2 linked regions of the Medicago truncatula genome follow. The protein of the gene in region 1 interacts with the protein of each later gene in a biochemical or structural test. Links are inferred from orthologs where the notes say so. Each region holds a gene or a part of one and is shown on either strand. Other genes may lie near its edges. The genes, in order: protein GRIP and ADP-ribosylation factor 1.

Evidence for each region.
Region 2: the proteins of protein GRIP (region 1) and ADP-ribosylation factor 1 form a complex in vitro, tested with the Arabidopsis thaliana proteins (2 studies listed by BioGRID). The link is inferred for Medicago truncatula from reciprocal best matches to the Arabidopsis thaliana genes ATGRIP and ARF3.

Annotation. Positions count from the first base shown.
Region 1 is NC_053046.1:9,461,874-9,473,936, reverse strand, and holds the start of protein GRIP, read right to left. Parts: upstream 5,335-12,063; 5' UTR 5,100-5,334; intron 4,266-5,099; 5' UTR 4,229-4,265; coding exon 3,391-4,228; intron 3,271-3,390; coding exon 3,155-3,270; intron 2,740-3,154; coding exon 2,570-2,739; intron 2,222-2,569; coding exon 2,128-2,221; intron 1,233-2,127; coding exon 1,146-1,232; intron 956-1,145; coding exon 875-955; intron 272-874; coding exon 146-271; intron 1-145. Other genes in the region: serine acetyltransferase 2, read right to left, coding at 6,616-6,653, 6,832-6,891, 7,369-7,442, 7,755-7,921, 8,165-8,259, 8,667-8,691, 8,797-8,892, 9,607-9,666 and 2 more. UniProt on the Arabidopsis thaliana protein: Golgi matrix protein playing a role in tethering of vesicles to Golgi membranes and in maintaining the overall structure of the Golgi apparatus.
Region 2 is NC_053045.1:61,802,811-61,814,419, forward strand, and holds the start of ADP-ribosylation factor 1, read left to right. Parts: upstream 1-6,378; 5' UTR 6,379-6,665; coding exon 6,666-6,768; intron 6,769-6,848; coding exon 6,849-6,887; intron 6,888-7,081; coding exon 7,082-7,144; intron 7,145-8,628; coding exon 8,629-8,647; intron 8,648-9,879; coding exon 9,880-9,991; intron 9,992-10,849; coding exon 10,850-10,897; intron 10,898-11,082; coding exon 11,083-11,213; intron 11,214-11,609. UniProt on the Arabidopsis thaliana protein: GTP-binding protein involved in protein trafficking; may modulate vesicle budding and uncoating within the Golgi apparatus.

The sequences.
Region 1 (12,063 bases):
TGGAGACCAAAAGTATGTCAGGTGTACATACTGAATGATATCACAACAAAATCAACTCTCTTGCTATTGGAGAAGAGGAAAGAGGAAGAGAGCTCCAAAACACAGTGAAATACTAATTTATACATATTGAAATTCAGAACCATACATGCTCCTGTTTTACGTGAGAAATCTCCCCCTTCACACTTTCCATGGCTGCTCTGAGCCGTGCTGCTTCCCCAGTTGATGCTGCCTCCATCTCTGCAATTTTAGATTCTTTCTCTGCAACTAGAACCTGAAGGCATTAGTCGATTGAGCATGGTCAGCCAATCAGCCGGAAACTTCTGACATGTCTAAGAACACATGCATTCATAAATAAGAAGTGTTTGGTAGCATAGATTTTTTGGATAAAATATTGGCACAATACTAGTCAACCCAGGGAAAAATATATTCTCTAATTACAATTAATATACTTTTTGCCGGTAAATGAATCCAGGGACTCTAAATTTAACATTCAGAAAGAATTTAAATGTAAGTCAGATATGCAAGTATGACAAAGCACGTTAATGGAATGTCTCCCAAATAAGGAACCTTTCAGCTCATGGAGCTCGTCCTCCAAAGTTAGATTAATTACAGGCTTAGCAAGTTTGGAAAGTATAGGCTGAACTTTACTAAATTTAAATAGACTGTTGGTTTTGGGGCTATATGCTCTGGTTATCTAGCCCTTGCAAAGCTCTATGTAAAAGTAGATACTAAAGAAGCTAAGCATGAACTGAAAAATAAAGCCACATGTGGATATTTCTTAACTTATGAAACATTATTTTCAACTTAGCAGCTTCTCCTCCCCACCTTGTTGAAACATATCATGTATGGAAAAGCTCATGATCATAAAATTCACCTGCAGTGAAGAAATGGATTCAGCTGCCTTTCTCCTATCAGATACAGCATCATTGAGTTGAGCCTCCAAACTCTCCATATTCTGCAGAAAACAAACATTGAATTGAAGCCAAGGTGAAACTATATACAAATGTCATAGTAGAGATGAAAGATCACTTTCTGATCAGTAGAATAAGGAATCTGATGAGTGATGAAAGATTACAAAATCCTCCAAAACGAGAAACTAAGAATACAGCCAGGCAAAGATGATAAAATATACACACAACACATACCTTTTGATGTTTAGCAGAGAGCTCAGCTAGTGCAGCTTGCCTTTTTTCCTCGGCAGTTCGAAGCAATCCTCTCATATCTTCCAGCATCTGAGTTGTCAAATTTTATTTTGTGATATCCAATAAACAGTGTTATATAATTACTTACAAGTGATGTACTACAAAAATAACATAAATACACAAGTTTGATGATACCGATACAAATGTAGAGAAAAGAAGTTACAAGAATTTGAAATACCACAATTTCTGCGAAAAATATCTGCTATTGTTCATAAAAACTGTTTGAATCAAGGGGAGAAAAACACAAAGCAAACACTTAAAGTTTGACAAAAATGATTTAATTCCTATAAAAATGTCTTGACTTATATAATAAGAGGATAAAAAAAAGGACTCTTATGTCGAACACCATTTTAAGGAATAGAGTACCAGTCTAAGAAAGGATGACATAGCCATAAGCTTTGGCCTGTGAGTGTGTATTGGGATATATAGAACTTAGCTTATTCTAAGTCGTTAGTTCTCTAAGATAGAGTAAGCATTTTTTTAAAAATCCATGTAGCCAATGGCCAATAGAAGAGTGAAGCGGCTGACCCCTACAGCTAGTGGTTGCTACAACCGCTACCCAAAACTGCAATGCAATGGGGTTTGGCATAACACCAAGGAGATGCTACACTACGGTCTCTATTGGCTACGCTCTAAATACAAACTTGTGGTTGGGCAGAGGCAGCAAAATAAGTTAGTTGGGTAAAACAGCAAGTGTGCACATATTCTTTAATAAAATGCAAAGCCCTAATTATTTAGTTTACAGCCATGATTAGTGTACTGACTACTGAGTCAAGTTAAAGATGCAAACATCGACAAGATACAAGACACGAGTTATAACCAGTTACCAGTAAGACGAAAGTGCTAAACACAATATACATACAGAAGATCTAAATCAAATAAACACTTCCCCCCCTATTAAAATATATGGATAATTTGTATGTACCTGTTCCTTTTCTGCAAGTGACAATTGCAATGACTCAAGAGCCTCTTCTTTAGGTTGCAATGAACGCCGTAAATCCTCAATGGTATCTCGAAGTCTGAGCAACACAGATTTTTTTAACTAATTATAATATAATTACAAATAGGATGAGTGTCTTGAATTCTCCTTTTTCCATAAATATCTAGAATTAGTTTATTTAGACACATCAAAAACATTTTGTTAGCCTAGAGGCCGATTTTAAAGCAACCTTCTAGGAATAATTCATGATCAACTTAACACAGGTTACTTTCTAATAATTCCTACATAGCCCAGTCAGTTGAAATCAGGGTTTACCAATAAAACAGAACATAGCTTATCCTGACACACCTGAAGATGCACACATTTCTAGGTAATGAATGTGTTTATTTATCAGTCATCGTGATGAAAAGTAAGTTAGTGTACTTACTTGTTGTTTGCACTTCTTAATTGTTGCCTATCACCATCCATGGCTTTCAATGCCTCATTTGCTTGTTTCCTTGTTCGCTCTAACTCTTGTTGCAATGCTGACTGTTGGGATGATGCTCGCTCAGCAGATTCATTTAACTCGGAGAATCGTGCCTCAAGATCGTCTTTTTCCTGCGGATGAAAAAATGAACTCACTTCTATATAAATATAAAGAAAATAATCCAGTTAAGTGCCTCAGTAAATTGCTTCAGGAGGTTTTGCTGAAGCACTAAATAAGAACATCCTTATTTTGTGCTTATATAAGAATTTTGTGGGCCAGGTTCATAATTATAAGCAAATAGATCATACGGATACCACAATTTCAATCACATAAGATAGCAAAGGTGAAGAGTACTCTCACTCGCACAAACTAATAATGTGGCTACACTGCCTAAGTTTAAGAGGGTGGGGGAGTTTAAGTGGCCCGCTTGATTAGAAGTTTGAGCACATGATAAGAGATTGTTCAGGTAGCATTACTTCAAGGAAATATAGACAATATCAAAATCAAAATATTAACGAGCCAGAAAAGAATATAGCAATGTTTCACCTTTTGAACTTCTTGAATGCGTTGTTTTGCCCTTTTGTGAAGCCTATTCAACTTGGCGTCAAGTTCAGAGTACTTCTCATCACGTTCTTTTATTTCATGTTCCAACTTATTTTGAGCTACACAAGAAAGTAACACAATGCATTCATTCAAAGGAAGATAAAATTTTCTAGAGCAATATTAATTTCTTCATGTCTTTATGACTTTAGCAACCACTATGCGCACAAACATAACCACACCTTCTACAAGCTGCTCAGAGAGATCTTTGGCCTTTGCTTCTGCATCTGAGTACGCAATTTGAAGGTGCTTCAAAGCTTCTTCGGATGCAATTCTGGTTTGTTTTTCTATCAGAAATTCTTTATTCAATAATTCTATCCTTTCTCGAAGTTCTTTCACAATGTCAGATTCCCCGTCTTCCGTACCACCAACTTCTTTCTGCATACTGGATTCCCTACTTACACTCTCAACATTGCTAAACCCCTCAATCTGGGATTTCAAGAATTCATTCTGAGATTTCAGGTCAACAACCATTTGCAGAAGCTCATCGTGAGTATCAGCCGAACCTTCATTTCCATCAGAGAATCGATTATCCAATACAAGATTTGTATTACTTCCATCTTTGCTTTGCTGATTCATATCAGAATCAGACAAATGCTCCTCAGGTTTTGACGAATCTTGTGCGTGAATCTCCATCATTCTACCAGTATCAGCCAGACCTTCGTTTCTATCTGACAAATGCTCCTCTGGTTTACATGAATCTTGTGCGTGAATCTCCATCGTTCCACCAGTATCAGTCGGACCTTCGTTTCCATCTAACAAATGCTCCTCGGGTTTAGACGAATCTTGTGCGCGAATCTCCACAGTTCCACCAGTATCAGCCGGACCTTCATTTCCATCAGATAAGCCATTTTCAAATACAATATTTACATCACTTTCATCCTTCCTTTGCTGGTTCATATCAGAATCAGACAAATGGTTTTCAGGTCTAGAGGAATCTTCTGCGCGTATCTCCATCTTTCCACCAGTATCACCTTCACCAGATGCCATCGACTTCTTGTTTTTTTTGGAACGCCCCATTATCAACTTCTCGTATCACACGTTTTACCAGCACAAGCTGCAATTCAACATCCAATAGCCATAAGCCTACTATGTTATACATATTGAAAATTTCAATTGAGCATGCATTCATGATAAAAATTCTTGCCATTTAAAGATCTATGAAGCACAGACACGTGTCCAATTGTCGGACACGCGTAGGTGTCACGCTGACACAAATAGTTACATTGAATTATGTGATTTTCTCAAATTATTATTGGTGTCGGCGTGCCAGTGTCCGTGTCGGTATTCGTGCTTCATAGTTAAAAATTGAAACATTTTGAGACTATGTTTGGTTCCACATTTGGAGTGGCCTGAATTAATTATGGAGGTGTAAAATTGACTCTGGCATGTTAGTTTTGCTCTCAAGTAGAATTAATTTCGCCTCCAAAATTGATTCCAACTTAAAGCTAAGATTTGTAGCTTTTAAGTCTAAATGTGATGTGATTTTCACACTTAACTTTATTATTCAACTCGCATTACATAAATGTAAACAAACATAAGCCACTTCACATTCAATTGATTCAAAATCAATTTTTATCACCACATAACCAAATATGTACTAAATCTATCGATCACAATTCAAAAACTATTTGAACGACTAATCCAAACATTAATAAATTTAAATTACTTGAAATTCAACTCCAAAATGTTGCATCCATAATAATCCATACAACTGAACCAACTTTATGAACTTTAACCATAATGTATAAACAAGTTACATAATCAGCAAAAACAAATCAAAAGCATTACTCAATTTTCACAATATCATTGCGATGTGTGATTGAATTAGAAATGAAGACGAATCTAGAAGCGTTATTGAATAGTAGAGATTCTGCAGAATTGAGTGTACCTTGTATTGCACAAGTATGAGGAGGAAGCGGGAACCGCCGGTGAAGGTGAGATCGCCGGCGCCGGTGGCAAAATGGATCTGAAGCTGCGGCGGATGTTAAGGGGAGAAAACGGTGCCGTTTAGGAATGTTCAGTCCAGTCACCGTCTCGTTACGTTTGTAGTTCGAACAATGAAAGAAAGAGGTTCGGATCCAGTTACTGAGATTGTAATAATTTGATTTCACAGGGATGTTCTAGTAATCTCGTCCTACTCAAAAAAAAATTATAAGTATAGGTTTTGTAATAATTTGTAATTATGGCAGAGTATATTCCAAGTTTTCTTTAATTTATTTTTACCTTAAGTTTTCTCTTAGGAAGTATTCATAGACTATCCAAAAGTACATAGATTCTAAATTATCTCTTTCAATGAAAGTGAGAATGCAACCGTCTTGAATATTTTGGGGAGAGATTTTTCATTAAAGAGATTTTATCAAACTAAACAGATTAATCTTTGCAGTTGCATGACGAATTTTATCTGATTCACGCTAATCAATTGCTAGTTGATCATTTTTAGTAGAGGTCTCTCCTTCTAACAATATTGTTTTCTATATACAGAGATAAATCATCTTATTTTAAAGATGAGTTTAGCTTCACTTTAACATTTTTTTAATAGGCAAATATTTGTAATTTGATGTTACATTAATATTTTCTCTTTGTCTAAAGTTTGAAACATCCAATTCATTCAACTCTTAACTCAAATTAGACAAGCTACTCAATCTTCCTACATATTGCAATCATTTTTTGAGTAATCAAGCAATTTGTTCTGCATACAAAGGATAATCTTGCACATTGTGGATCAAAATATGTGGATTTACATTATGTAAGTAGTTTTAATTTCATCCCCTTGAAATATCTCAACACTTATTTATCGAATCTCCGTTGTCCGTTGATGTTTGAAATTTAATGCTGACTTGGTCATCACCCATTATTTTTGACAAGGGGTGAAAGCTAAATTTTGTTGTGATCTTTTTTCTTTGCAGTATTTTAATGCATGTTTGGATTGACAGTGAGTTTAGTGGATTCACAATTTTGGCAAAACCTACACTTTGGAACTTAGACAAAATCACGGTGTCACCGTTATATTGTTAAACTCGCCATGATTCCAAACATGTCCTTAGCTTAGTGGTCTTTAAATCCTCCTTTCATCGAGAAAAAGAAACAAAGTTTGTTTGAAGAGCTAAATACCAGATGGGATATCTGTCACCTAAGCTCAGATGTTAGAAGGAAAAGGAAAAGGACCAAGAAGCAAGTGATAAGAGACATGTAGCATCTGCTTTAAAGTTTGTCTACAGAAATTTGCTATACTGGTGCAAGAACCTCGGCACTCAGCAGCAAAAATTGCAAGTAAAATAAATGTATTATTAATATATGAGATCCACTACATCGCTTTGAACTGATCATGATTCTAACATTAAGTACAACAACATCCTTCCTTTGAAGACAATCGATCCAAACTGAGATCTAGGCAACCAATCCACTCAAGTGTTCACTTCGATTTTGTCTGGATTTTGTTCTCCTGCAACATATTAAAATATCTAAGGCATAGAGAACAAGAAAATAATTGTAGTTAACCGCTTGTACAATGTGATAAGAACGCCAATTGAGGACCGAAAATGCGCTCATAAATTCTATTTGTAGTGGAAATTTTCTCGAATTTAAACAGGAAGATAAGACTTGAAGAAAAGAAAACTAACCACTGGACTTTTCATCTCTAAAGTTAGTAGCTACATGAGAGAAAAATTGTTTTGTAGCATCTGCCCAATCAGGAGAACAAATATTATGTGATATCATGAACAATGAAATATATTGTCAATACGATTCTGCTAGGGAAGTTTCCTAAAGAATAGATGACAATATGATAGTGCCGTAAAAACCAACAAAACAGATTCATCAGTATGTCCTACAGACCGGTATTCCAAGTGACTCAGATATGTTTCATTTTTGGTGGATTCTTATAAATAAAAAGTAAAATTAATTTCAAAATTATTTTCATAGGCAACATGTATTGGAAAAATATAAATTACTCCAATGATGGGTTAAAATGAATCCTATAGTCTATAGTTTCTGCCGCATAAAAGGAACTGCAGTGCGAGAGTAAAGCAGCCTCCTTGTATCATACAAAAGCATAATTATGTATTCCATAAGAATTTCACAACGTAAATATAATTTCCGTCAAAAACTACAAATTAGCATAGTCATCGATGATATGTCATGCTCAAAGGTTTGCTTACCATGTCTCATGGTCAAAGATGGGTCATGCTCCCGGAGACCTCCAATAACTTTAGCCGGTATTCCTGCCACAATACTTAAGACAAAGCAAACAAAAAATAAATACAAAATCATCACCTTCTAATATGAAACAAATCAGGTAGCAAGTACTAAGCATGTGTTCACAATTGAGGATCGCAGAAAATAGCAGTTTGCTCAAATTCCGCTACACAACAGTGCTATAGCACCACCACTATAGCCGCTATTTCATAATATTTTGTACTAAATAGCATATTGCATAACAATAGCATTTTGTTTCAAATTCCGTTATGAGATATCGCTTAGCACTGCTATTTAATAACATTGCCAGGCATTTTTTATAGACAATTAGATAGATATTCATTAATACCTGCGCGGAGGGGCATCTTTCAACACAAGGGAGCCAGCAGCGATCATCACACCTTCACCAATTTTTATATTTCCGAGTATAGTTGAACCAGCTCCAATCAGTGCCCCTTCACCTACTTTAGGATGGCGATCACCTGATTCCTTCCCTGTGCCTCCTAATGTCACAGCCTGCCAAATCAAACATATATGATCATCTAAAGAGCATAATGAATGCATGAGTCAAAAAGCTTTGTCAAAAAAGTTGTTTAAGTTCAATTGTAATCTAATGAACCCATTTCATAAAAGTAAAATCAGATTAGCTTTCAAAAACTGTTTCCAGGACTATTATCATTTCAATGAAGGTTTGTTAACGAATATGCAAAAATAACTAGATAAATACAATAAAAGATATTAATGAAGAAACACACTCACTTGCATCAATGAAACTCTGTTTCCAATAACAGCAGTTTCACCAATAACCACGCCTGTCCCATGATCTAATAAAATTCCCTCCCCAATTTTCGCAGCTATATAAAAAACCATAAAATGTAAAGTTCAACCGTAGTAATAATAATTAAGTGATATATAATCAATGACCAAAGAGCTTTCAATATCTTCAGTGGAGAGACAAACACCCTTCAAGACAGAACTTTATCTGTCAGTTGTCATACAAAGAATGCTGAAGTAAGGATAATCATTAATCATCAACTTGCTTCCAAGAATTAAATATTGAACCCTCAAGAATACCTTCTGCTTCAATGATACCAATCTCCGTTATTCAAAATAATAATAAATTCGCAGGCACAAAGTGAATCTATTTGCAACATTATATTGCTTCTTCGATGATAGAAATTTATTACATGTAAAATATGTCAATTTGTGCTTAATTAAGTTATTTATTATACAATCGAAAGCAAATATGATAACAACTTACCAGGGTGAATGTCAATTCCAAAAACCTGTGAAGGAAAGGACGAGGGGTTCGATTATCAGTGACAGAAACAGAAATATGAAATCCATTTGTGTCTATTGGATTTATCAAGTTTAGTCCAATAGTAAGCTACCTCGCTAACACGGCTTTGCAAAGCCAAGGCCAAGACTTTGCGTCCCTGGTGCCACAATGCATGAGCTACTCGATAAACTTGCAGAGAATGGAAACCCTGTTGCCAAAACACAACATTGAATGTCAGTCCTATGAAGCTATTATATGCATGAAAAAAGGGCATTATGAAGACGTAAACGCCAAATCCACAATAAAACATTTTGGTTGTAATCGCACGAATACAATGATATCAATGCAAATACATTGAATTGAGTACACAAGCCAGTAGCATCTGATGGTGCTGAAACTGTGAAAAAGCTAGCAGCACCCACAACTCCATGAATGTAATTAGGTTGTATAAAGAGCATAACAATTTTTCAAATCTCAAATTTCATGTAGCTTTTAGTGTAAAACAACACCTATAACACTTATGGTACTATAGCTAAATTTTGTTCTTAAAAAAATCCAATAATGATTGGAGCAATTTTACTCACTAACAAATCCTGTTGCAACAGTGAGCATCACTAAATTTGGTAGTCCTGCTCCTTATTCAGTGGTCCCTATAAATTGTACTTTTACCAAACAGTAAAAACTTTCTGAGAAGAAAAGATGCAGTATAGAAAGTGATGCTATGAATGCGGTGGGTCCCTATAAACTTGTGGTGCTAGCACTTCAAAAAAATTACTTTTTGTGAAAGCTAAAAAAATACAAAACTTTTACAAATAAGGGTATTGCAGAATTAACTTTAAAAAGTCCATTATCCCCTAATAATGGAAGCAAGAACAAAGTGCATTATCAGAAAGCAATAAGAAGTCCAAGTCAGAAAGTAAACCTTCATATACAAAATTGCTGAGCAATATGACAAACATGCAGGGTCCCTGTCTTTAAATGCCTGTTTACAAATATAAACAAGAATTAAATTATATCACCATCAGCAAACACTTTCAATCCAATATAAAATTAAATTAAAAGACTAAATTACCAATAACGTCTCGAATTCGACATATTAAAACATAAATGACACATAACGGATTTTTTTTGTTATAAAGAGTCTGGCGGCGAGACTAACACAAACTATACTTACCGTCTATACGTAACGGATTTAATCAGTGTACGAAATATGTACACGTACACGTGCATTCAATCATATCTTACCGACATAATAAGTATGTAGTAATTTCGGATAGTATTAAAACATAAACAACCCATAACGGATTATTTTAGTTAAGATGAGTCTGGCGGCGATATATAGTACAAAATATGTACACGTGCATTCAATCATCTCTTACCGGACACATTAAATATATAGTAATTTTGGGTCAATTGAAATCACCTGAACATCGAGGCGGATTGATCGCTGAATAGCTTTGTCATGCATGAAAACATTGCAGATTATATCCATCAGCTGTGTAGCCAAAAGAGTAGGACTTTGAAGACGGTTAGCAACAACAAAAGCTAGGACTTGCTCCAAACACTCATGTGCTAAAACACTTGCATACAAAAAGCTACTCAAAACTGGTTCCTTCTCTGCCTGCACCCCCAAATTCAACACAACACCCCTCAATTAATCTACTAATAACTTCACGATCAAAAAATCTTTTTCAAACACAACCAACTCAAATCAAACTAATGATGTCAATTTAGTTCTGAAAGTAACAATGGCAAAATAAATAAATATACAAAAAAAAAAAATTACTTTCAGATACTAAATTGCGAACAAAAATATAGTAATGCATGTTTGATATCACAGTGTGTTACGTAATTTTGCAAAAGTTACACGCAAATTTGCTATTTGAATGACAAAACAAAATACAAGTGTGCTATCACCATCACCGTGAGCCACTGTGATTTTGCAAAAGCTACACTGCGAAGTTTGCCTCATTTTAATAAAACAGTAAAGAAGTAAAAAAAAATATATATATATATTAACCTCATGCTTAGCTTCTTGCTTAACAGCTTCCCAAATAGGGTCAGACACGTCTAAGATGGATTCAGGATCCGGGTCAGGTAAACCCATAGCATAAACAGGAAAAACTTTTTCAAGACGGTAGGAAGAAGAGAGAGGGAAGCGTTTCTCAGAGACCATGTTGGAGAGATTAAGCCAATTGTGATGAGTCACACAAGCCATGCGAGTACTTAATAAGAAGAAGAGAAAGAGTAACTGAAGTAGTGTATGGTTTTGAGGGGGTGTAATAGTAAAACAAGTGGTAGTGTATTAGTAGTAACAACAAGTGATGATGACGATGATTCTTTGCTTTGTTTTGAGTAGTGGTGTTTTTGGCACATCATCGCAGGAAGGAACCGTTACTGTTGTTGGGAAATGGTGGTGTTTTCGGGTTACACGCACGGGGATAAGGAAAAAAGTGGAAGTACAATTATTTTAATGTTGTTGTAAAAGTGTGTGTGCATGAAAAAAAATGCAACTAGTATCGAAACAAAACAAAGTGAAACAGAAAAAGAAGCATGTTGGATGGTTAAGAATGAAATAGCCTTTGTTGGGTGGGTGATTGCTTTGCCCTTTTTCCAATTTGAGCCGTTCAATCAAATCAAAAGCTTCACGCCTTTTTCTTTTACTTATTTTATTTTTCTTAAAACCCTAATAATCTTTTTTTTGAAAGAAAAACCCTAATAATCTAAAGTTTGGTTCAAATGGAAATAAGGTTTGAGAAATAATTGTTTCATTGGAAGATAGAATTAGTGGAGAACTGTAAGATTTTGTTGACTAATGTTTCTTTGAAGTTTGAAGCATAATCCGAAAGACATGTGAAAATGAAACCATAATTTTGACGGCAGATTACACAGTTATAGAAGATTACCGTTGATTTTCAATGTAGATTTTATATCATATCCGTCGTTGTTTAACGCTACATGGAATAGATTGTTAACAACAGAGATATCATTGTTTGTGTGAGTGGTTGTTAAATGATCGCCTATCAACGAAAGATATTTTTCTTCGATGTGGGATTCATAATATTGAATCTCCCTTTTTTGTGAGGGAGTTGCAATATGAATGAAACATCTCATCGTATATATTTTTAGTATCATTTCTTTGACGCGGTTTGGTCTAAGATTTTGTGTTGGTTTCAAATAATTTAAAAACTCAAATGAAGATTTATATTATCAGAATAGAATAGATGAATGATTGGTTGGCAACATAGTTGTGGGTTGTGACTCTATGCTCTTTTTTGTGGTGGTCGAGGTTTGAATCCATATTATACATTGTCTCTATCAACTGAGTTAAGCTTACGAGGACACTCTATGCTCTATTTTACCTGATGAATAAAGAGAC
Region 2 (11,609 bases), on another chromosome or scaffold:
AGGTGTAATGATGATGAAAATCAGAAATTGCAATATGGATGAAGATGGAAAGTTCAAATAGGTGACATGTGGCGCCCTAGGATCATAAATAAGTTTGATGATCTCCCAAATAGACATTCTGGTACAGTTTGGATTATATAATCTGGACACCCTCAATTATTTTTTGATAGTGCGTTTCACCAAAGGTTTGGCCGGTTAATGGAGTTTTAATGCGTTTTTTGAACGGTTTTGAATGACAAACACGCTTTCATTGTCTGTACTTATGACATAGGACTTATATAACGGTCAACAAAGACATTTGACATCAAAGAAAACACCAAAAATCATATTTCAAATGTATCGAGATTTTGTGTTCCAGAAATCTCTAACAATCTGGTTCGGATTACATAATCCAGACCAAAGGGTATTTTCAATTTTTTTGCAGGGTGCACGAGAAGCAGGCAGGGTGAAAAAAGTGATAGTCTTTGTATTATACAAGCTCATCAAAAAAATGATTTTTGTAATATCACACGCGCACGCACGCACCGAGAAAACATGTGTACTCGTAGATATATTTGATTTAAGAGTTGCTTCAATAATATATGCGGCAACTGCAATTCTTGATAGGTTTTCTCTGCTATGAATATCATCAAGAATTGAATGCGAAATCACAAGAGAGATAAATGATTAAATGATTGTTTATTTAATTTTATATGAAAAGGTTTTTAAAGAAATTGAAAATTAGAAAATCATTTAATGTTTTTAAAATATGAGAAATTGCACACAACAACTATGATGTTTATTTATGTTTTTAAAAAAATTCATTTAATACTTCTTAATTATATGTATATTGCCTTCACTAGTCGAAACTTCTGGGTCTGTCCCTGAATGACAACCACAATAATATTAATTTTTTTGTTGATTGAAACCATAGTATAACCAACGTGCATTAACTGCTCCAACATGAGTTAAATCACGTTCAAAACACCAACGTAAATTAAGTCACGTTGGTAACTTTTTTTGCTCTTTCAGTCATTTTTCCATTGCCACACATCTTGACTATGGGAATGCAGATTCAATTTGGTGGTAATAATAATTAATTAAAAGCTACGAACCTCATTGATAATTGGCAAGAATTCACTAGCAGACTGCAAAAGTACCCCCATCATTATTACCCTGAAATAATAATAGATTTCTTTTTTGTTAAAAAAAAAAAAAACAAAATATAATAATCTCCGTCGCAATAATTTGGATAGAGAAATTATTTCTCACTTTTTTATTGCTTCTCCTATTTGTTGGTCCCTTGATATCCATCCCATGGCTTCCAGTATAGTTCAGCCAACAAAGCTAAATAGCTACAAAACAAAATTATAAAGAAAATCCAAATTAATTATATACAAAATAATTTTATTTTTTAAAAAAATATACTAAAATGATGAGATTATTTGATTAAAAAAATGTACTTTTTTTTTGGTCAAGTAGCCTAGTGGCTAGAGCTCACACAATTTAATTGTGGAGAAGTGGAGTGTCCGGGGTTCGAATCCCAGCTCCTGTATATAATATGCAATATCCCTACGAACTGAACTAAGCTCATGGGGATTAAAAAAATGTACCTTGTCTAACCATCTTCCACTAACAAAGGCCATGGGAAAATGTCTTGCTAGGTCCTTCAATGTCACTCTCATATAATTCAATAAAAAAAAAAAAGTTACATTCTATCAATTTTATAAAATGAATTCAGAATCAAACGTTAGTGAACAAAAGATCAACCTTTTTGCTCATGTAGGCTTTATCTGGATCTGCTACAATTGGAGAGAAAGTTCCATCATAGTCGAGAAAAACAGCAGTTTGTTTCCCATTTGTATTGTACATTATTTGAAAAAGCAAAAATGTTACTAATGTGAGTTAACTCACACCGGTGTTCTGAACGTGATTTCACTTATGTCGGAGCAATGTATATTAACGCATGTTTGTTATATCGAACGTGAGTTAACTCACGTTGAAGTTATTTTTTTCGGTAGTTTTGGTGGGAATGAGCAAAAATATTTGGGAGAAGAGCAATTTTCTAACGGCCGATGTTGAACACATAGTGGGCCTTGACCCTCATTTTTATTTGCAAAAAATAAAATAAAAATAAATATCATTAGTAAGATACATGCTCAACTGAAATGATCTTTGTAATATCGCGCTCGCACGCGCACACACAAATATACATATTTTGACCATCTTTGTAGTAGGTTATAGTATAGACGGGAAAAAAAAAACATGTTGCGTACTTGTCGATATATTTGATTTAAGAGTTGCTTCAAAACATGTTGCTTCAATATTTGGCAAGCGCAATTGTTGATAGAGTTTTCTCTACTATGAATATTATCAAGAATTGAATGCGAAATTGCAAGAGAGATGAATGATTAAATGATTGTTTATTTAATTTTATATAAAAAGTTTTTTAATGAAATTTAAAATTAGAAAATATTTAATGTTTTTAAAATATGAAAAATTGCACACAACAACCAACTATGATGTATATTTATGTTTTGTAAGAAATACATTTAATTCTCTAAAAAAAAAAATACATTTAATGCTTTTTAATTATATATATATTGCCGTCACTACTGGAAACTTCTGAGTCTGTCTCTGATCAAATGTGACTTATTGATTGATATAATGATAAAAATATATTTATGCACAATGTGACTTATTTACTTGTGCACACATAAATCAAACATCATTTGTTATTGAGTGAGTGTATTTCACCATCTGAATTCTACAACGATTCACATATTTTTGGAGTATACTTCTAAACAGGGACGAAAGGACATGTTATGTTCTAGGGGATAAAGCCTTGCTCCCTTTTTACATTATTCTATATGTATCCACCGTGTGATGTTTTGTACTCTGATTTTGTCTTTTTGCAGAAGAAGAAGAAGAAGAAGATCTAGAACAAACTTCAGGAGAATTCGTCCACAATTATGAGCTAGAAAAATGTGGTTTTAACGATCTCTTCCTTAGTTTAAACCAAATGAGTTTTGTGAAGTACAATATTTATACTTTAATCTCTAGCAAATATCATCGTATGAATGTTGAATTATGCTTCAGGGATGGATTTGGCGTATTTACGAGAGCCAAAACACATTATATCCAAATCACTCTTGTAGTTTTGTTCCAATAGCCAACAACATCACTAATTATTTCAAAAGCTAATTCTTATCCATTTTATCTCCCCTTTTCAACTATCAAGTGGCCCTTTGTTTTTTGCTTTTCCTCCTTTCTCCCCATCTTGTATGATTTTGGTGGAATATATATAAGCTGATTAAAAAATAAAAAAAAAGTGAACATGGTTATTTCAGGCATCAAGAAATGAATGCTCTATTTTTATGTTGACTAAGAAGGAGCATGACATATACTAATACTACTATTGAAGTTACATGAATTCTAATTACTGTACTCTTTTTTATTTGTCATTTTTTTTTTCTTTTTACGGTAGCTTTATTTTATGGTTAATACAGGTGAAGGTATATCTTTCAACTCTCTTGCAAGCCTTTTTCCACTTTTATTTTTCCATACTACATATATTGGATGAATTCTTTATCTGAATTTTTTTTTTCCCACTGAATAATCTTTTTTTAAAAGGTAAACAATTAACTTTTATGTGACACTGAGATTAGTATATAAAGCGTCACATCATAGTATAAGGTCCGTTTATGTATTTTTCTTTTCTTTTTTTCTCCCTAACAATTAACATTGAATGAAATGCACAAAATGTGATTTACTCAAAAAATAGGATGTTGTCTTTGAATTTAGGCGCTGGTACTGATGGGAGTGCTACCCAAATACCCATTGACCCTCTATGTCACAAGATGTCAAGGCAGCCACCATATGTAGTCTCTATTTCTACCTGGTTTTTGAACTATCTAAACAATTTTTCACCATTCACCATAATTAATTTATTTGAATATACTTGGTTTACAGTTTGATGCCCCTATAGTATCCTCTCTGTTTATAGCTGTATTAGAAGGATGAAGAGTTTGTTAGATTTTTGTTTCTTTCAAAAGAGCTTATAGCTAAAGGATTTATGAAAGAGAATATTCCGTGTTTGAATTTGAAAATTGTTGATGGAGCATTATACACAAAATTTAAGTATTTGTCTCTGAAAGAATTGGAGAATAATTTTTTGCTTGCATATAATATCTCTTTAGTTAAACCGAGAAATATCCACTAATTGAAAGATTCTATTGTTAGATCCTCTACCCTCTATGAAAAAAATACTTTCTATGGTCATTCAACATGAAAGACAGAATAATCTTGCTCCCTCTCGATGATTCCAAAGTATTGATTAATGTTGTTGACTACAGGAAACTTCACTCCAAATATAACAAATCATCTTCCTATTAACTGGTTCTTGCTCTAAAATGGTGCAAGATTTTGCACCCTTTGCAACACATCAGGACACACTGTTGAAGTATGCTATAGGAAGCATGGATTTCGTCCTTACGTGCAGAGAAATTCCAATTCTTCTGTTCACAATGTATCAGCAGCTGATGGGGGTGAATTCAATGAAATTCAACTTCACAGAATCACATCGTCACATCAAAGCAGCTTCGCCTAGCATTACTTAGGATCAATATGATAAGTTGATGACTCTTATTAAAAATTCAAGCATTAAAATCATAAGTCAGGTCTTGCAGTTTCTAATCAACTTGTCATTTTTCAGTTGATAAGCAAGGTAGTATTATGACTCAGAGTGAGCATCCCCTTCCAAATGCACGGACCAAAGATGCTAGCCAAGGAGAGGTTGATCCAACTGAGGTAATGATAATAATTTCAAAACATTCATGATACATCTCAAGTTTTCTACTTGTTTAGTGCTCAATTGAAGATCCTTTCTTTCTCAATAAATAGTTCTGTCAAAGCATTAATCCACACTATGCGGAAGAAATTTTGTTTATATGGTACTTTTTCAGCTTCTATTAATGTTCCTGTGTGAATCACTGATTTCCTTCTAATTCATTTAACATTACATCTCTTGCCGTCACATAAAATCAATTTATACTCGAGTAGCAAAACCTTGAAAATTAGAATTTATCTTCAACTGAGTTTGGTGGAGAGCTTTTCTGGTCTTTCTATAATAATAATTTTTTTTTTTTTTTTTTTTTTTTAGGGAAGGTGTATATACACATTTAGAACTCCCTATTTATCAATCTTTAACCACTAACTTAATTGAAAAAAATAAAATTGAATTGTACATTCCTGTTAATAAAAAGATTAATCATATCAATTTCAATATAAAATAATATATCAAAAAAAATTATATTTCATTTAGTAATTTTTTTTTTTGGTGTTTTTCACTTATCATTTATCCATCATACATCATATATTTGCAACTAATTTAATAAATAAAATTAACATTGTCCTTAAAAAAAATTTAACATCGATAAAATGTAATAAATGTTGAATTAATTTTTAAAATGATATTTCATCAAAAACAAAAATTTAAAATGACAAATAATTTCAGAAAAATAAAAACTCTAAACACATACTAATATTGTAAAAAACGACCACTCATTGGCTTTGACCAGGTCAATATTAAGGAGGGCCACTTTTTACAAATGAGATGAAAGATGGAGGGCTAAAAGTATGGGCCAAAATCGATGGTTTTGGGAAGTTGAAGGGGTCAAAAGCTCATTTTAGTCTAAACTTTTATTAATCGATGTGTTTGGTTCATCTATTGCAAAACACAAAAAAGAACCCCAAACACTACAGCGGGGGAAAATTCAGTTTGTTCAGGGTTTGAGTTGATGTCACATTTTCAGGGTTGAAGGATCAACTATACCAAATCAACTGTCAATTCAACCGCAAAGACACGAACGGTGGACATCGTTGAGTATCGTCGTTCATCAACTAACTTAGATGGAAACGTCCAGTTCATCCATATGAAGCTTAAAAACTGTCGACGTGAGAACCATGATCTAAATATTTGGTCAGTACAGTACTATAAAATCGATGGAGTTGGACACATCATTGGTTAGATCAATCGAAGATATTCATAAAGGTTGAATTCAATCCAAAACCTAAAAAGAAATGAGGGCTTGTTTAAAATCACAAATCACTTTGTTGTCGGTCTTGTTTACAAACGTATTAAGTGGTCTTTAAACAGTTGTTTGTACGTGTTCTTGCTTGAAACGTGTTTCGGCGTTAACTATCGTTGAGACGACAAAAGTCACATGTTTCGACGTTAACTACCGTTGGGACAACGACAGTCAAATACGTATTTCAACGTTAACTATCGTTGGGACAATGACAATCAAGTACAATAGACAAGCAAACATGAGTTTCTAGCGGTCGAGGGTATTTTTGTCAGTTTAGCAAATACTGTAGTCTAAAAGGAATTTTCGAAAACAAGTAACAATAGATCCCATAACTGAAAGGTGGAGGAGAAGAGGGTGAGTGAATCCAAATCCAAATCCTGATTCTCATCATCGTTTCGTCCTTCCCTCTTCCATTCGATTCTTCTATTTTCCGAAACCTAACCTTAATCCTTGAATCGCATCGCATGCACTTCCTCTCGCTGCTTCTGCTCTGAGATCCGATCCGATTTCAGAATAATCGAAGAATTCTCAATCCGAATCGTTTGCACCTGATTCATTCATGTTCTAATCGTAATCCCTCTGCCGCCGAATCGGAAGATGGGATTAGTATTTACTAGACTGTTTTCATCTGTTTTCGGTAACAAGGAAGCTCGAATTCTCGTTCTCGGTCTCGACAATGCCGGAAAAACCACCATTCTCTGTATGCTTCTTCATACTCTCTGCATCTTACTCATTCAATTCGCTATTTTTATTATTAATTTCTTTCATTTTTTTTTTCAGATCGGCTTCAGATGGGGGAAGTTGTCTCTACCATTCCAAGTTCGTACTCGATCTCGTTTTGCATTGTTTTGAATCTTCATTTTGCTGAATTTTTTAGTTTTAGATTTTCAATTCTAGTTATTAGCAATGCTATTTTGTTCAAACAAAATGTTACAGCATGGGTATCTTATTTATTTTTTATACTTGCATGTATGGATGGATGTCTGATTGGTTTATTTGATTATTTGATACAGCGATCGGGTTTAATGTTGAAACTGTGCAGTATAACAACATTAAATTTCAAGTCTGGGATTTAGGTAATCATTTTAATTAATTTGCTTGGTTCACATGAATTCTTTTTGTATTTTATGTATGTTTTATGGTGTACATGCTGTTAAACATATTTGAAACCGACTACAGAGTCATAGAGATGACCATGTGATCTTTCATTGTTGAGATTACCATGCTATATTTACAATTTTGCATCTTTTGATCATAATTTAGTATAGGGATAACAAAGAGTAAGGTACATTCGCACATGTGCATGTACGAGCTAACTACGTTTAACAAACAAACAATGAAATATGTTTTCCCTTTATTTTATTTCTAAGTTGTAAAACAAAAGCACTATATTAAAATTTAAACATGTAAAAAACCAGCAATAGAGAAATTATTTATAAAAAATGTAATATCTAACTCGATGTGAAATTTTCCAAAAGGTCTTGCAAATCCTAATTATCAAACATAATAGATAACGATTTTTTAAAAGGTCTTGCAAATCCTAATTATTAAACACAATAGATGACCATAGTGTGGTAAATTACCCATGTCCTTACATGTTTAGTGGTAAAAACTCTACCTTTAGTGGGCAATTTTTGTAGGTAGTTATTGTGTCCTGCGTTTTAGTCCAATTTCCATCCCTTTATAAAGTAGGCGACTTACATATCTTAATGACTTGTGGGTTGCAAACAAAACAGAGTTTGATGTCACACCAAGTTAAGTTTTATTAGTTTTTCCCAGACAATCTAAGGCCTTTTATCTTAGAGGTAGGAATGAACCAGCGGATGGAAATTGGACTAAAACGCAGGACACAATAACTACCTACAAAAATTGCCCACTAAAGGTGTTGCTCGGGTTTGGCTTAAACATGAACAAGCAGTACTTATTAAGAAAGTTAGCCTATTTTTTTCTTCTGAAGCTCGGATAACTTGCTCACAACAAGTTGCTTGAGCTTGATGAGCCAGGCTCAAATCCTATACAACAACCACTGTTGTTCCTCACTAAAATCCTGTACTCGAAATTTTGAATTAACTTGTGAACCTGGCTTGACTTACCTCCAACCCTACACGCAGGACTCTGTCAACTGTCGTGACATTTCTGTCTCATGTTAAATACTAGCAAGCATACATGGGCTCGTGTTTTAAACTTAAAGTTTGCTGGTCTCATTTTTGGGTACTGTAGTGATAAGTGAAACACGAAACAAAGCGAGTTTGGATAATTTTGTCCTCTTCTGGCTGGTAGTTGTTTTTTTATCTATATGCAGTATTAAGTTTTGATGTAGTGCAAGCGAAGATAAAAATAAGCTGAAACCTTTGACAACATTTATTATATTTTCCTTTGTCAAACTATTTTCTTAGTATGAATGAAAGAAAATAAACAGGCATCAAACCTTAAAATATAGTTTATTACTTACAGTCAGTTGAGCTTATAGTTACATGAAACTTAATATGATATAACATAGTGCTATTATAATAAGCCCTGGCTTGTTTCAATTTCTAATATCCAACTTTTTTTTATACAGGTGGGCAAACAAGTATCAGGTAAGCCTTATGGTTTCATTCTTGCATCTTTTGACTGATGGAAAATGTGTATTTTTTTTAAAAAAATTTACTATAACAACAATAGCTGGTGACTTCTGATGTGTTACAATGTCATACCAATAGAATTTTTTTCTATCCCTTATTCAATATTATGATCTAAATCAATTGCGACTACTCCACTCATCATGCAATTCCTTTTTTTTCTAATCCTTTAACTCTTCCATATTTCTGTTTAGCTGTAAATGAACCTACTATAAAGTCCTTGATGTGTGTATTTCTAGTAAGAAGATACCAATCCTTCTGCAGTTAATTAGTGTGAGTATGTGTGTGTGTGTAGGTTTCAATAATATAAATATACATGCCTAAAATCTAAAAGAATAAAACGTAATTGAAGAAAAACAATGCATAATGACAATATCATGCACGATATTGTAGGTTAAGGACCAAATATAATGAGAAGTTTCAATATGCTGTTTAATCTGTTAAGAAACCTGGTATTTTATTAGGGGAAAAAAAAGACTCCCCCAACAACAGAAAGATGCCACAGAACTTGGAGGGTCTGCACCTCTGTATTGCTAAAGTTCCTAATTCTCTCCCAAAATGACAAGGGGTTCTCTCTTTCAACCCCTCCTTTTGTTTATAGGCAACATACCTTATTTCTTCTGACCATCTCGGTCCAACAAATAACCTAAGTCACTCACTCTTGCTTAGATATTATCAAACACATAACACAATCTTATTCATTTTTGAAACTACGGTAGCTCATGTTGTGGAAAGAAATGCCTTATGGATTCAAAGATGAATTTCTCTTGTATTAATTTATTTATAGTGTTAGACCCAAGCAGTCTTGCTCGTTTCCGATGTGTCCCCCTATAATTTGAGTTTTTTTTACATTTCCTTTAAGGATCGTTTTGCTATCATATACTTGTTTCTGTCCAGTTTAAACAAAACTGCATGTATAAGCATGCGCAGCACAAAAATATGTCATTTCAAAAAATATTTCAACACCCAGAAAAGATCGCATACATTACTTCTCAGTTCTGACATGCCATTTCACTTGTAAATGTGGGAAAAAAAAATATATGGCACTAGAATGATTAAAAGAACAAATCACGGGAAAATTGAAAACCAGGTGGACCAAACCACAAGATGGGAAACTAAATTCATCCCTAATAACTATGTAGTAAATTTCTATAACCTTTTACTGTCTTTGATTATTTTTTTGTCCATAGGCCATATTGGAGGTGTTACTTTCCAAATACTCAAGCAATAATCTATGTTGTTGATTCAAGTGACACTGATAGGCTTGTGATAGCTAGGGAGGAGTTCCATGCAATTCTGGAGGTATATGTTCCTGATACAACACACACCCACACACACACACACACACACTTCATCTAGACCTTTGGCGCAAGAATTCAGTTTGTTCCTCTTAAAATTCTCTTGTAGCCTATATTACAATTTACAAGGGATTGGTGGCTCTAAGTTGTATTTCTAAAGTATATTGATTACGTGAAGCTTGAACATTTTGAAAGAGGACTATAGAAGGATGATGTAGGTGTTATTTGTGATTATAGGCGTCTCCTAAGCTAAGAGGAATTAGTTTTTGACTGAATCTAGTTCTGGTGTTTGATTCATCCTAGTTGGAATAGGTTTTGATCCTTGTTTTGAATGTTTAGGGGCCTGTTTTGTTTAAAAAGTAATTTTTTATTTTCTATTCCTTATTTTTACTGGTAATTACAAAAATGCTACTTCGTTGTAATTGTATTTACTGTTTTAGAGGATTTGTTTACAAAATGGTGACTACATTTTTGCGTTTTCATCATTTCATGCACTCCTTGATAGTCGGGAACAAATTAAAACTATGGTGACATTTTGTATTTATCAATAAAATAAACTGAAATAATGTTTTCTCAAAAAAAACAAATCCTTAGCAATTGTAATTTTATTGTGGAGGTGTTTTCATGAATCTGAAATTTGATTAATAAATATGCATGTGCCTACTTGTCAATTTCATTTCTTGAGTCATTATAATCTAGTGCATTTTTTAATTTATGTGTGTGTGTGTGTTAAAATTTGATGCCTAATTGATTTTTATCCGTTTCTCCTTTGACTATGGTTTTGTTGTCTGATGTGATTGTGATTTCAGTTTTACAAATAACAAAATTAACACTAATTATTTTCTCTGAACCTTTTTTTCAGGAAGAAGAACTAAAAGGTGCAGTTGTTCTCATTTTTGCAAACAAACAGGTCAGAATTTGATTCATAGTTGTTGGATGCTCATATTTTCACTAGGGGGATAAGAAGTAAAGGCTGGATATATAAGAGTTATGAAGCTGATATGATCGGGCTTAACTAATTATTTGCACATGTACATAGATAATATGGCAAATATAGTGTAAAACTTCTCATGTGTGTCCCGTTCCATTATGCAGGACCTACCAGGTGCCCTTGATGATGCTGCAGTGACGGAGTCTCTTGAGTTGCACAAGATTAAAAATCGCCAATGGGCTATTTTTAAAACTTCTGCTATAAAAGGCGAAGGACTTTTTGAGGGCCTTGACTGGTAAGTCTAATAAAGTTGAATGCTATTTCAAGGTAGTTAAAGTATATCAAATATCGTAAATAAGGTGATGCTGCATTGTTAATTTATACTTTTTCATTTTTTCAGTATTTAAAGGATATTTTTTCCAATGTTATCAATCATCAACTCAGTTAGGAATTATTAAAAGCACAGTTTCAAACAAAATTTAACCCTTTTTTATAGGGACTAAAAATACATTTAACCCTTTTTTATATCTCAAACAAAATTTAAGGACAGTTATTCTTATGGCTACATAAGTATGAATGTGCAGCGATCTTGGTAGTTTTGAATAGTTGTCTAGTGACATATATGCAAAATGTAGAAATTATTATGGTCTGCTGATAGAAACCCAATGTAATAGTATGAGATTTAACCTTA